Linked DNA regions of Ovis aries. The protein of the gene in region 2 purifies or fractionates together with the protein of the main gene of each other region. This does not show direct contact. Links are inferred from orthologs where the notes say so. Each region holds a gene or a part of one and is shown on either strand. Other genes may lie near its edges.

What was found.
Region 1: the proteins of NEPRO (region 2) and RPP30 purify together in Homo sapiens (affinity purification with mass spectrometry; 3 studies listed by BioGRID and IntAct, counting the BioPlex papers as one, with this or other methods). This does not show direct contact. The link is inferred for Ovis aries from reciprocal best matches to the Homo sapiens genes RMP64 and RPP30.
Region 3: the proteins of NEPRO (region 2) and RPP25L purify together in Homo sapiens (affinity purification with mass spectrometry; 3 studies listed by BioGRID and IntAct, with this or other methods). This does not show direct contact. The link is inferred for Ovis aries from reciprocal best matches to the Homo sapiens genes RMP64 and RPP25L.

What each region holds. Positions count from the first base shown.
Region 1 is NC_056075.1:12,318,723-12,322,934, reverse strand, and holds the start of RPP30 (ribonuclease P protein subunit p30), read right to left. Parts: upstream 2,919-4,212; 5' UTR 2,906-2,918; coding exon 2,824-2,905; intron 1,331-2,823; coding exon 1,275-1,330; intron 757-1,274; coding exon 700-756; intron 1-699. UniProt on the Homo sapiens protein: Component of ribonuclease P, a ribonucleoprotein complex that generates mature tRNA molecules by cleaving their 5'-ends. Also a component of the MRP ribonuclease complex, which cleaves pre-rRNA sequences.
Region 2 is NC_056054.1:178,668,435-178,672,056, forward strand, and holds part of NEPRO (nucleolus and neural progenitor protein), read right to left. Parts: intron 3,372-3,622; coding exon 3,010-3,371; intron 2,776-3,009; coding exon 2,714-2,775; intron 318-2,713; coding exon 58-317; intron 1-57. UniProt on the Homo sapiens protein: May play a role in cortex development as part of the Notch signaling pathway. Downstream of Notch may repress the expression of proneural genes and inhibit neuronal differentiation thereby maintaining neural progenitors.
Region 3 is NC_056055.1:36,953,771-36,958,021, reverse strand, and holds RPP25L (ribonuclease P protein subunit p25-like protein), read right to left. Parts: upstream 2,705-4,251; 5' UTR 2,662-2,704; exon of another isoform or gene 2,624-2,661; intron 1,911-2,623; exon of another isoform or gene 1,908-1,910; 5' UTR 1,878-1,907; coding exon 1,386-1,877; 3' UTR 506-1,385; downstream 1-505. UniProt on the Homo sapiens protein: May be a component of ribonuclease P or MRP.

The DNA.
Region 1 (4,212 bases), on a different chromosome or scaffold from region 2:
ATTTTGAAAGAAGATTTACTGTGGGTAAAATACTATCAAACAGCATTGCATGCTACAGAGAAATTGTACTGAAAGTAAGCAAGTTCATGCAGCAAATTCATCGTCTTATTTCAAGAAATTGCCACAGCCACCCCAGCCTTTAGCAACCACCACCCTGATCAGTCACCAGCCTTCAGCATCAATGTAAGACCCTCCACTGGCAAAAAGATCATAACTTACTGAAGACTTAGATAATGGTGAGCATTTTTAAGCAGTAAAATATTTAAAAATTCAGATAAACATTGTGTTTTTTTAGATACAATGCTGCTGCTGCTGCTACTAAGTCGCTTCAGTCGTGTCTGACTCTGTGCGATCCCACAGACGGCAGCCCACCAGGCTCCCCCATCCCTGGGATTCTCCAGGTTGCTGCACACTTAATCGACAAGGTAAGCATAAACTTAACATGAATCAGGAAACCAAAACATTCGTGACTTGCTTTAACATGGTAGTTTGGAACCAGACCCACAGTATCTCTGAGGTATACCTGAATAGCTAGAGAAAAAGAGACGTACATAATGTTTCATGGAAAAACTAAGTCTTCATGGAAAGGTAGGACTGGTAGACAAAGGAACGGGCAGTGCAGGTTAGAGAACCATACATATGACTGGGAACGCCTGAACTGTCTGAGTACGTATTATGTTTCTTAAACAAAGCACTTACCTGTACAATTGGCAAAGTTGTAAAGAGTTCAGAAACAGCTACTGGTTTGTCAATTTCCTACAACAAATAAAGAATAATTTTTAGAAAGCTTATTTCTAGCATGCAGAAACACTAGATAAGCTGTGTGTATGTCCATGTAAAGACAGTTGAAGCCAAGTAGGAGCTGAGAACATCAATGGAAAGGAAGGATGAACAACAATTTTTTAGAATGAAACAATCTGTAAGGAACAATTGTTGGCCTAAGGAGAGATACACATATTTACTAGTATGTTCGGAAGGGAAATCAATCAGTAATGAGTCCATGACGGTAAAATAAAAAAGATGAACTATTGTGATTAAAGTTTAAACAACAACAATGCACTTTTTAAAAAGTTACTTAACATCAGATCGACTTTAAGAATCTTTACACCATACCCCAGCACTTCACAAAAAAGTTATCATTTGTACAGATATGTATCAGCTCAACTATTAACACATAAAACAATGCACAGAGTGCTCATCTGTAGCTTCCACATTACCGATACACACAAAATAATTATAAATGCTGGTTATTATTGTCAGAAATCCTATTTTACCTGTTTCTTTTCCTTAAATTCAACAACATGATTGATGGCAACAACTGAATAGCCCACTGAAAAGAAAAATTGAACATTCTTGTCAAATACAACAACCTCTTTTACACATAAGCTCATACCAATTCATGTCAAGACTACAAGGCAGAAGAATGGTTATGAGTATGGATTCTGGAGTCAGATTTGCCTGTTCTCAAACCTAAACATTACTACTTAAAAGTTACTTAACCTTAAGTTTCAGGTTGTTCATCTGCCAAATGGTGATGATATCAGGATTCATCTCATACAACTGTCATGGGAATTAAATGAGATAACACATGCTGGATGTTTTAGAACAGTGCCTAGCATAGACACAGGGCTTTGTTTGACTTTGGTGATGTATTATCAGCATGATAACAAAGACCTTTATCTTTGCCTATCTTCTTTCAACCATTATTCTTTTTCGTGTCCCTATGTTCATTTTCATCTCATCAAATTTATACTTTTTTCACTATCAACTTCATTCTTACTTTTCCGTTTTTTCTTTTGCTTTTTACCCTTTCTACTTCTTCAGAGACCCTTTTGCTAAGGTGAAACAGGATGACCACTAATTCACACCAATGTCCACGTTCTCCTTTGAGCTACCCACCAAGAGACTGAGAACTCTCTGAAGCCAAGGCCTGGCTTTATCAGCCTCAACACAGCACTGCTCTGGACATGTGGACTTCAAAAATATGTTTAAATCATGACTCCAATCTTTAAGCTATTTAAACAGCAACGGTGACGACAGGATATTAATATTAAAAGATAACGCATATTACGGTCAAAATAGTGGTCTCCCCCCTCATGAGTTTGTCCAAGGTCCTTTTCTTCCTCTCTCAAATATTTACTGAGCGTCCATTACTTAACAGACCCTGAAGAAACCTCTTCTATTTTGAAACCCTTCTACGCCCACTTAGACAGCAGTTGTGATTCACTTCAATAATTAAGGTAAGGTCTTAACCTCTCTCGGCTTTTGTTTCCCCTGGATTCAAACAGGAGTTACATTTTAGCCATTCTGCTCTCCTCCCACCCTCCTAGTAAGTCCTCCGCCCCCACTTACTCTCCGTGTAAATAACATTCCGACACTCGGAACCACATGTCCCCATTCTCAGGGCCCCCACAGGACTCCCCCTCTCTGCATCAGTTTCCCGCATTTGACAGCATCAGGACAATGTCAAGAGACTTAGGAAGGGGCGATATGAAAGGCACTGGTGTAGGCGTATACTTGGGAGCCCCGTCTTCTTCCATCCATCAGCTGTGGGGCCCATGCAGATCCCCCGCCATGTCAGGGCCTCAGTTTCCTCAATTCGCAAGACAGAAGGAGCTGGACTGGGTAACATCTCCCCAGGGCTTTCGAGTTTCCCGCGCCTCGGGTCAGAGTAACACCGCAGGGGCATCAGTTTCTAAGGACACGCCGGAGGCCCCAGGACACCAGAACTAGGCCCGCCGGGTCCCTCCAGAGCATGGCTCGACAGCCTAGGGACAGCGAGACAGCGCAGGCACGGCGGCCCGCGCAGCCCGGGAGACTCACGGTGAGCAGCGTTCTCCACGAGCCCGCGCAGCGCCTTCAGGTCGGAACCCGCCCGCAGGTCCAAGTCGGCAAACGCCGCCATGCTGAAGCCACGTGAGCCCCGGCGCCGGCGCGGCCTCTGGGCCCCGCCTCCCCGGGCATGCCGGGAACTGCAGTTCAGCGGCTCGGCCAGCCCCGCCCTCCCGCAGTCTGCGGGTCTCCGCCTCCTTTCTTGCCTTCAAGTACCAGCAGAAGTTAGCACGTGGAGATTAGCAGCCTCGCTTCAGCCCTTCGTCTTCTTCCAAATGAGAATGTCTGGTTTCTCCTGGGGTTGGGCCGTGGGGGTTCACACCTCCCACCCTTCATCCTTGGAAATAATGTAGAAAATGATTCTTTTAAAATGGACATATACACCATTAATTGAGCGCCTACTTGAACCAAATCCTTTTGCTAAGGGCTGGAAATGCTTTAAAAGTAGTAGGGAACTTGTTCTTTTTTCCCCCGTTAAAGGCCATTCCGTTGTTTAAAATGGACTTAACGGAAAATGGGGAAACTGACCTAAAAGCGGATTGCCAGGGGGAAAGGTCTTTTTCCTCTGTCTGAACTGGGAGTTCACAGCGCGCTACTTCCTTACACTCAATATCGTCAGCCACCAGATGGCAGGGTTCTTTCTAGGATGAGAGGTTAGCTCCATCACTGGTTCAGCCAAAAGCTGGTTAGACAAGAGAGGGGCGTAATTAAAATAAGAAGAAATGTACAATCAAATTCCACACAATTGATATTTCCACATTTTTGAACTCGTGTAAGTGAACTCTTCTTAAATATTGATCAATGATCCGAGAACATAAAACTGTGAAACTGTAGTTGACATCAGATGACATCATGTGGTTGGATGGCATCACCGACTCAATGGGCATGAATTTGAGCAAACGCTGCAAGACACTGGAGGACAGAGAAGCCTGGCGTGCTGTAGTCCATGGGGTCACAAAGAGTTGGACATGGCTTAACAACTCAACAACAACAATAATAGTTAACATCAGTGCTTTTTCAAACGATCTGTGATGAAGGGCCTGGTTACTGCCCTCCCCACCCACCCACCCAGTTGTTCTAGGACCCATTCCTGTTTCCTCCTGCATGACCAATAGACAAATCTGGCCTCAAAAGTTTGGTCTAACATCTGAATTGCTCTGTACTCGACTGAATAAGAAGAGTCCAATAGCTAGGGACTTGGGTATACAGATAAGGCCTAATGGGTGTGAAAGTTTCTAAACAGTTCTAATTTCTGTGCTAACTTATCACAGATAGTACACAGACAATCTCTAGCCTGAGGCCACATCTTGACTTGTATTCGTCTCATGACTTTTCCCCTTGGTCTCAGAAGGGAATTTTAAGAGGGATCTGCCCCATGTT
Region 2 (3,622 bases):
TTCGCCTTAAAAGATAACAGAAGAAGTAAAGGAATGTAATTTTTATAATATACCTACCTAGAGCCTTGAGCTTCCACATGTTTAAGCCGATTACTTTTAAGAAGTTTGTTACCCAGAAAGGTGGTCTGAACCTTCAGTTTTTTGCTTCTACACCACAGAATTGCCATTTGGATTTCTTCAGAAAGTTGTGTGAAAGTCTCAGCCTCTCGGAATCTTTGCACAAGACTTTTTACACAGGGAGTTCCTATTGCTTTCTGAGAAGAATGTTTGGTTGCCTTTAGTTTGGATGGAGAACATTTAAACTCAAAGTTCTTCTCCTGAAATATGGAATGAGAAAAATATATTGGATCTGTTACTGACATATAACAAGAGAGAGAAGTTGACTCACACACTATCAACATTTGAAAATGCATCTTTTTAAAAGAAGGAGAAAAGTTTTTTCCAGTTCCCCATGCTTTCTGTTTGTCTTTTTAAATTCTTTTGACTGTGCCACCTGGCTTTGGGGATCTTAGTTCCTCAACCCTGGGAACAGACTGGTACCCCCCTTGCAGTGGAAATACAGTCCTAATAACTAGACTGCCAGGGAATTCCTTTCCTTAAAAAAATTTTTATTCACTGTTCCTAATACGATTTTTTCCCTTCTGTGCTACAACAGATCCCATCTATAGCTAAATTCAGTTGTACACAAGTAACAGTATAAACATTTACAGACATATTTATTTAACCTGTGTTGCTGTTGTGTTTGTGACCCCATGGACTACAGCCCGCCGGGCTCCTCTGTCCATGGGATTTCCCAGGCAAGAATACCGAAGTGGCCATTTCCTTCTCCGGGATCTTCCCCACCCACAGATCCATCCTGCCTCTCCTGCACTGGCAGGTGGATTCTCAACCACTGAGCCACCAGGAAGCCCATTTAACCTACACATAAGAATAAAACTCCGCATAATTAAGTATTGGTCAAAGTCTATCTGGCGGGAGACAAAATCGCTGAAAGGCTCTTTTCCTCTAATACTGGACTACCACAGCTTGTTTTTCATCACCTCCTCAATGAAGGGTCATAAATGTTGTTGATAAATGTGGAAATGCAGATGACTGCTGAATGTATGCTAAAAATGCTTAACTGAGCAATATTTCCAATTCCAATTCAACCATCTTTTGACGTGGCACCTCTGTCTCTTCAACGTCACTTTTCTGCATGAAGTCAAGTGAATTTTATCAACTACTACTGTTTATTGAAATATGCCACCTACAAGGTCTGCTTCCATCTTGTGTTCAAAACTTCGTTTCTTGCAAATTTCTCATTCTCAAGAAGAACAAGTAATAGTAGTAGAAGGCAGAGACCCATCGATCTTTGTGTTGGTGATCCATAAAGGTTTGGCCTAAAAACACCCTAAGCATGTTGGTGCTAAATGCTAAAAATAAAATAGTGATTGGTCATAAATAAGAGGGATGCTGGAACCAGCTCACATAGGAACAAGTGATGGACTGCAGAAAGTTTCAGGAGTCACAGAGAGCTGTAGTTATTAAGAGAGAGCTGATAAAACTATTTGGAGACTGGTGTAATGATAAACTGCAGGAGACAGTTAAGGACAGGGAAGCCTGGTGTGCTGCAGGCATGGAGTTGCAGAAAGTCAGACACAACTTAGTGACTGAACAACAAATAATATTAAATGACAAAGACTAAAACCAAACTGCCTGGTTCAAATCCCAGTTCTGCCCCATATTTGCTATCTGGCCTAGACAAATTTCTTGTCCTTTCTTTGCCTTAATTTTCTCATCTGAAACATGGAAAGAACAGCACCTACCTCACAGGACTTTTGCAAGGATTATATGAGTTTACACATATAAAGAGTTCTGAACAATGCCCAGCAAAGAGTAAATGCAGTATAAGTATTATGGTGATGATGACATCTTCCTCCAGAACTTGTAAACTGGACAAAATATAAATGCAAGCTGGAATCCTTGTAAACCTTCAAGAAAGTACTGACTTGTTAGAAAAGAATTCTTGAATAGAATGGAAGAAATAGCCCATGAAGAAAACAACTTTGAAAAGAGAGTAAAAGAACTTCTTATCCGTGTCAGATCCAGAACAAACCAAGTTTACAGACACTGGCTGAGGAGAGGTCAAATGCTGACAGCAGCTCTAACACTGACAGAAAGACAGAAATAGAAGCCTCATGATAAAAGATGATGATGATGATAGTGACGATGGAAGTACCTGACAACATCTAACATCAAGTAAGGGCTTACCACACTTGAGACTCTGTGCTGAATACTTTACATGTACTAAAACTGGCAGAGCCCTATGAAGTGTATACTGTTTCTAGAAAATGGAGGCATGGACAGGTCAAGAAACTTACGTAAGGTCACAAACTACTACACACCAAAGCCAGGACACAAACCATCTGACTTCGAAGCCCATGTTCTTAAGCTGCAGTGTAATCCACTCCTATGGTGGATCCTAGGATCATTTTAAAATCCTAGCAAAACCCTTAGTAAAATGTTTCTGAAGGCATTCTATTAACCGAATTAACTAGATGCACTCAGATCCCTTGGAAATGCCTCCACTCATTCAGAAGCAGACTGAGACTAAGATGGCACTATGCCTAGAGCCGAGGATAAAACCAGAAGTGAGATTCAGCCTCTGGCCTTGGTAAGTGGCATCTACACTTAGCAGAAATCATAAGCTATTATTAAAATAAGCCAGACAAACCTGAATAGCTTTTTGTTTCAGCTGTTTGCAGAAAGCTCTCACATCAAATTCTGATGACTTTTCTGTGGAGATAGAGTACAGATAAAACAATTAGGCATACTGTTTTCAAAACAATAAATTCTTAAGTACATGACAACAAAGGGAGTTAAGCAAGCAAAGAACTATGAAGATACAATAGAAAGAAATAACATGCTCAAGCTTAGAAAACACACATTATTAATACCACACGTCTCTAAAGATAATGTGAGTTAAAATTAAGAGAGTTTAAGAAAATGAGCCATATCAAAGCAAATTACCTTTTAAGATTTTCTTACTCTTTACTGGTTGTCCAAGATCCATGTTATTCGGTATATTGATCTTCATTTGTTTAGCTTTTTCAGAAATTCTAAGTAAAGTTTCTTCACCCGACCTCTGTGATTGCTCTTTTGTTAAAAATAGTTTATTTAGCAGTTTGGTTACTCCTTTAGCTACAAAAGCTGTAGGCATTTTTTTCTTAAAGACTTCAAAATAGGGCTCTCCTAAAAATTCAACAATATCAGAAGGAAAGGTAAAACCTTTGAAGTAAGGCAATGGTTGAATCCTGGAGACCTCTTGAAGTAATCCAAACAATGGTTCATATAAAGAAACCAGCTTTTTTAAAACATCTTTATACAGAACCCTAGGGAAAGAAGTAAGAGCTCATGAATTAGCCAGTAATTGTAATTTGCAGATTACATAATAACTAACAGATTCAAAGCTGAAAATAACACCTATCAGTCTGCCGCTATAGATTTAAAACAAAAAAATGCTACAGTGGATACTTGCAAAGAGCTAGATTTAGTCCAGCTTATACAGAAAAATCCAAGTACAAAATGTTATATAAAACCAAATACAGTACTACATGGAGAGAGATTTCAAAGGATGGGCACC
Region 3 (4,251 bases), on a different chromosome or scaffold from region 2:
AACACTAAAGCGCAGAGCAGTAACTACCTAATAAGTGGCAGACCCAGGATTCAAATCCAGACAGCTTGGTGACCAAGGCCATGATCTCAACCACTATATTGTAATATAGGCATACTTCACAGAGACATTTGGGTGCAGTCCCAGACCACCTCAATAAAAGGAAGATCTCTATAGTGCAAGTCACAGAAGTTTATTGGTTCCCCAGTGCTTAAAAAAGTTATGTTTACTCTAAGAAGTGAAGTGAAGTCGCTCAGTCGTGTCTGACTCTTTGCGACCCCGTGGACTGTAGCCTACCAGGCTTCTCTGTCCATGGGATTCTCCAGGCAAGAATACTGGAGTGGGTTACCATTTCCTTCTCTAGGGGATCTTCCCGACCCAGGGATTGAACGCGGGTTTCCCACATTGGAGGCAGAGGTTTCAACCTCTAGCCACCAGGGAAGCCCTATATTGTAGTCTATTATGAATGTGACAGAATTATAGCTAAAAAACAATCTACATATATACCTTAATTTTAAAATATTTTATTGCTAAAAAATGCTAACCATCATTTGAGTTTTCACTAAGTTACAGTAGTAACATCATAGATCACTATAACAAATATAATAATTAAAGTTTGAGATATTTTGAGAATTACCAAAATGTGACAGAGACACGAAATGAACACTGTTGGAAAAATGGTGTTGCCAGACTTGTTCAGTGCAGGTCTGCCACAGAACTTCACTTCTTCTGTAAGAAATGTAGTATCTGCGTGCAACAAAATGAGGTATGTCTCTATGCTGCAGGTGGAGAAAAATGCAGAGTCCTTCAACCAGCCCCAAACAGGAAGCAGATAGCTACCCAGGGATCTAGACAGTCAGGTTACTGCTTGAGGCTGCATCTTCAGTCCAGATCCTCCCAGCACCCATCTGAACCTACTTTTCCTGTCTCCAGACTGGGAGCTCCTGGCGGTCAAGGGCAGGGACTCCCACTCCCTTAACCCTACTTCCACACAGCAGGCCAAGCAGAGGTTCATCAGACAGACAGAGCCTTTATTTCCTAACTCACTCCTTGGATCTCTGTCAGAAGACAGATGAGAGGCACTGTATGTAAAAGGCAGAGTAACCCTTCTTCTTTCTCTACATAATATTTTATTTTATTTATGCTGTGGCAAGTTGACCTACACATTGACTTAGGATGTTGCTTCTTAAGCAATCTAGAACCCGGCAGAGACTCCACACCTGTCACTCTTCACGAGAGTCCCTTTCCAGGAGCCAGAGGGAAGGGGAAGCAGGACAGGGAGGCCCACTTTCCTAAACTCAAGTTTTGTTGGAGACCTTGAGCAGTTAGAGGCTTCTCAAAGGTACAGCCATCCTAGACAGTCTAGACAACAGCTTGCCCACAGGTCCTCAGAACCGGGTATCTCGAGCCCTTCTTCTAGGCTGAGGGCCACAGCTGGAGGCAGGTGTGGGCCCGAGGTCAGGGGGTGCCCCAGGGGGCTGGTAGCCATACTCATTGGGGTCCAGGGGGTCTCGACTCAGCAGCACCCACACTGCAGGCACATGGCTGCGGACCGTGAGGGGATCCAGGCCCGTGTCAGGTGAGGTAGGCACCCAGCTGTCCTCGGTCTGCAGGAAGCGCAGCTTGGTAAGCTGGTACAAGCCTGGTACCCGCCGTTTGACAATCTCAGCACAGCTGACAGCCTTGCCTGCAGCGCGGCCAGAGCCTGAGAATACCACGTGGCGAGCGCTGCCGCCCTCCAGCCGCTCCAGCGCCAAGCCCAAGAGGTTGCGGATCTTGCTGCCAGCTCGGACCCGCATCTCCAGGGTATCAGGAGGCAGCTGGGGCATCGGGGAAGGTGCGGGGAGTTCCACAGAGCCAGCTTTCCGGTAGTGCTCCATCCAGCCTGCTGTCGTGTCCGCCTTGCTGCCCTGCTGCAGGGAAGTCAAAGGATGGTGGGCACTGTGTCCCAGGCGACCCCCACCCGAGGGTGCTGCTCCGCCCAGATTTCCCAGAAATGGGACTTTAAACCCCTCATCCCCAGGACAAGGAGTCATGCCTGCCTCCCCCTAGGGGGGCATGTACCCCAGTCCTCTGGACAGGGCCATAACCCTCCACCGACCCTGAACACCGGCCAAGCCTCTCCATCTCTAGCTCCCTGGCACTGGGAATGAACCTTTCTCATCTGGGGCTCCTGGGGACTGGATCCAGGCCCTCACCCGAGACTCCCTAAGCACAAGGCTGAGTGCTCCTCACCCTGGGCTCTCCACGGGGCGCCAGGGCAAAGGCGCCTCACTTCGTGCTCCCAGAGGTCAGGGCCAAGCTCCCCCCTCCCCGCCCCCCACACCCCATGCTCCACCAAACGGAGCCATGAGCCTTCATCCAAAAGCTCCTCAAAGACAGAAACGATCCTCTCCCCAACTCCTGGACCCCGAGGACAGGGTCGGGCACCCCTCTCTCATCCAGAGATTCCAGGGTCGATCCCCTCAACCGAGGGTCCCTCAGACACTGGGAAGCAGAGGCTTGACGCCAACGACTGCTCGGGCCACCCCTGGCGTCGGGGCCACGAGAGGCCGGGCTCCGTGGTGCCCACCGCCACGGGCCACCGCAGAGGCCCAGCACCCGGCCTTCCCTCTCCTCCTCGCACCTCTAGGCGCCCCTGCCCCGCAGGGCTCCGGCTCTCACCGCCGCGGCCGCGCACTCCCTACGCTCGATCTGAAGCCAAGATGGCGCGGGCCGAAAGCGCGCCGAGGTCGCGGGGCCGCGCACGCCGGACGGGGCGGGGCCTGAGGGGCCGGGTTCGCAAACCGAGAGGTTCCGGACGCCAGGGAGTGAGCTGGCCCCGGACGCGAGGATTCGCTGCACGCAGGGTGTCTTTGCTGTTCTGCCCCAGGCAAGGAGCATTCCTTTGCGAGCGGAGAGAGCGCTGCGGGGGAGAGGAGCGGCCAGCAGAGGAGTCCCGCGTCCGAAGTCCGCGTCGGAAGGATGCGGAGGATTTGGCCCTTAGAAGATTCAGGGCAGGCGTTACCCGCTGAGCACACCGCAGTAGCAGAGGCAGAGTGGCGGGTTTCTCTTTGGACCGGAGCTAGAGGTGCCGGGTGATGTGGCCGCTGCGGGGGCGAGAGCCTAGATCACCGAGTTCTGAACTTCAGCCTCACCCTGTGGGCACTGGCGACCCACAGGGGGCTTTCATCAAGGCGCAAGTCAGACTTGTTCGTGTGGGCAGCTCTCGGGCCTCCCTCTGGTGACTCCTGGCCGCACGTCCCAGGGGCATGTCCGCGGTGCTTCGTAAGTTGCCCTGCCTATACGTGCTCGAATATTTGATAAAGCATTTGTTGAAAGAATGAGCCAGAGAAACAACACTGGGAATGGGGAAAAGGAAATTAAGTTGGAAGATACTACGAGGTGGGTTTGGCGACTCTTCGGATGGAGGGAAGAGCCTAGGATGGCTCAGTTTCAGACTTGTTGGATTTGAGATGCCAATGAGACCGCGCCGGTACGGTGGCGGGCAGGTCGACGTAAAGGGGCCTGGAGCCGCAGCAGTCCCGGAGACCACAAGGGGACAGCAAACACTTGGTGGAGTGAGGTGCCATCGGTTTCTTTGCTAATATGCCAACTCTCCCTCCTTTCCAGCCACAGCACCGCCCCGCCCCGCCCCAGCCCAAAAGCCCTCTGCATCCTCTTTTAGGCTCCCCTTCTCTTATAGCATCAGGAGAGCAACATAGAGGCTCCCCTCTCCTTTGCACATGCTGCTCCCTTGGTTCTCAAAGACCCTGCATATCACTCTCCAGAGCTACCTGCCACATCCTTTTCTTCTGTGCCCCCAAAGAACCCTTGTGCCACATGGTTCCCTCCCCTTTTCCATGACTGTTTCCCCTGCTATCCTGTTCAGGGCAGGGATCAGGTGGACCCTACCTGTGACCTCCCCACCTGGTATGGCATCTGACATTTAGAGTGTACTTGGTAAATGTGGGATAAATAGATATAAAACCAAATGTTCCACTCACATCAAGCAAATGAGAGCATTCATCCTGAGAGCTCTATATCTCCCAGAAAGCTAGACTAGGATAAGTATAGCTGGTGGTCCAACTCCTAGGAAGATGGACAACTCTGGCCTCCACCACCCTCATCCCCACCACCATACCCATCCAAGACCAGGAAGCCAACACACTCCTGCAGTGACCTCTACAGTTTTATTGTCACTGGAACAGGATACTGATGAGGGGAGGAGGTGCAAAGAGCAAATCTCAAGTAACCAGACCTCTGACCTCAGAG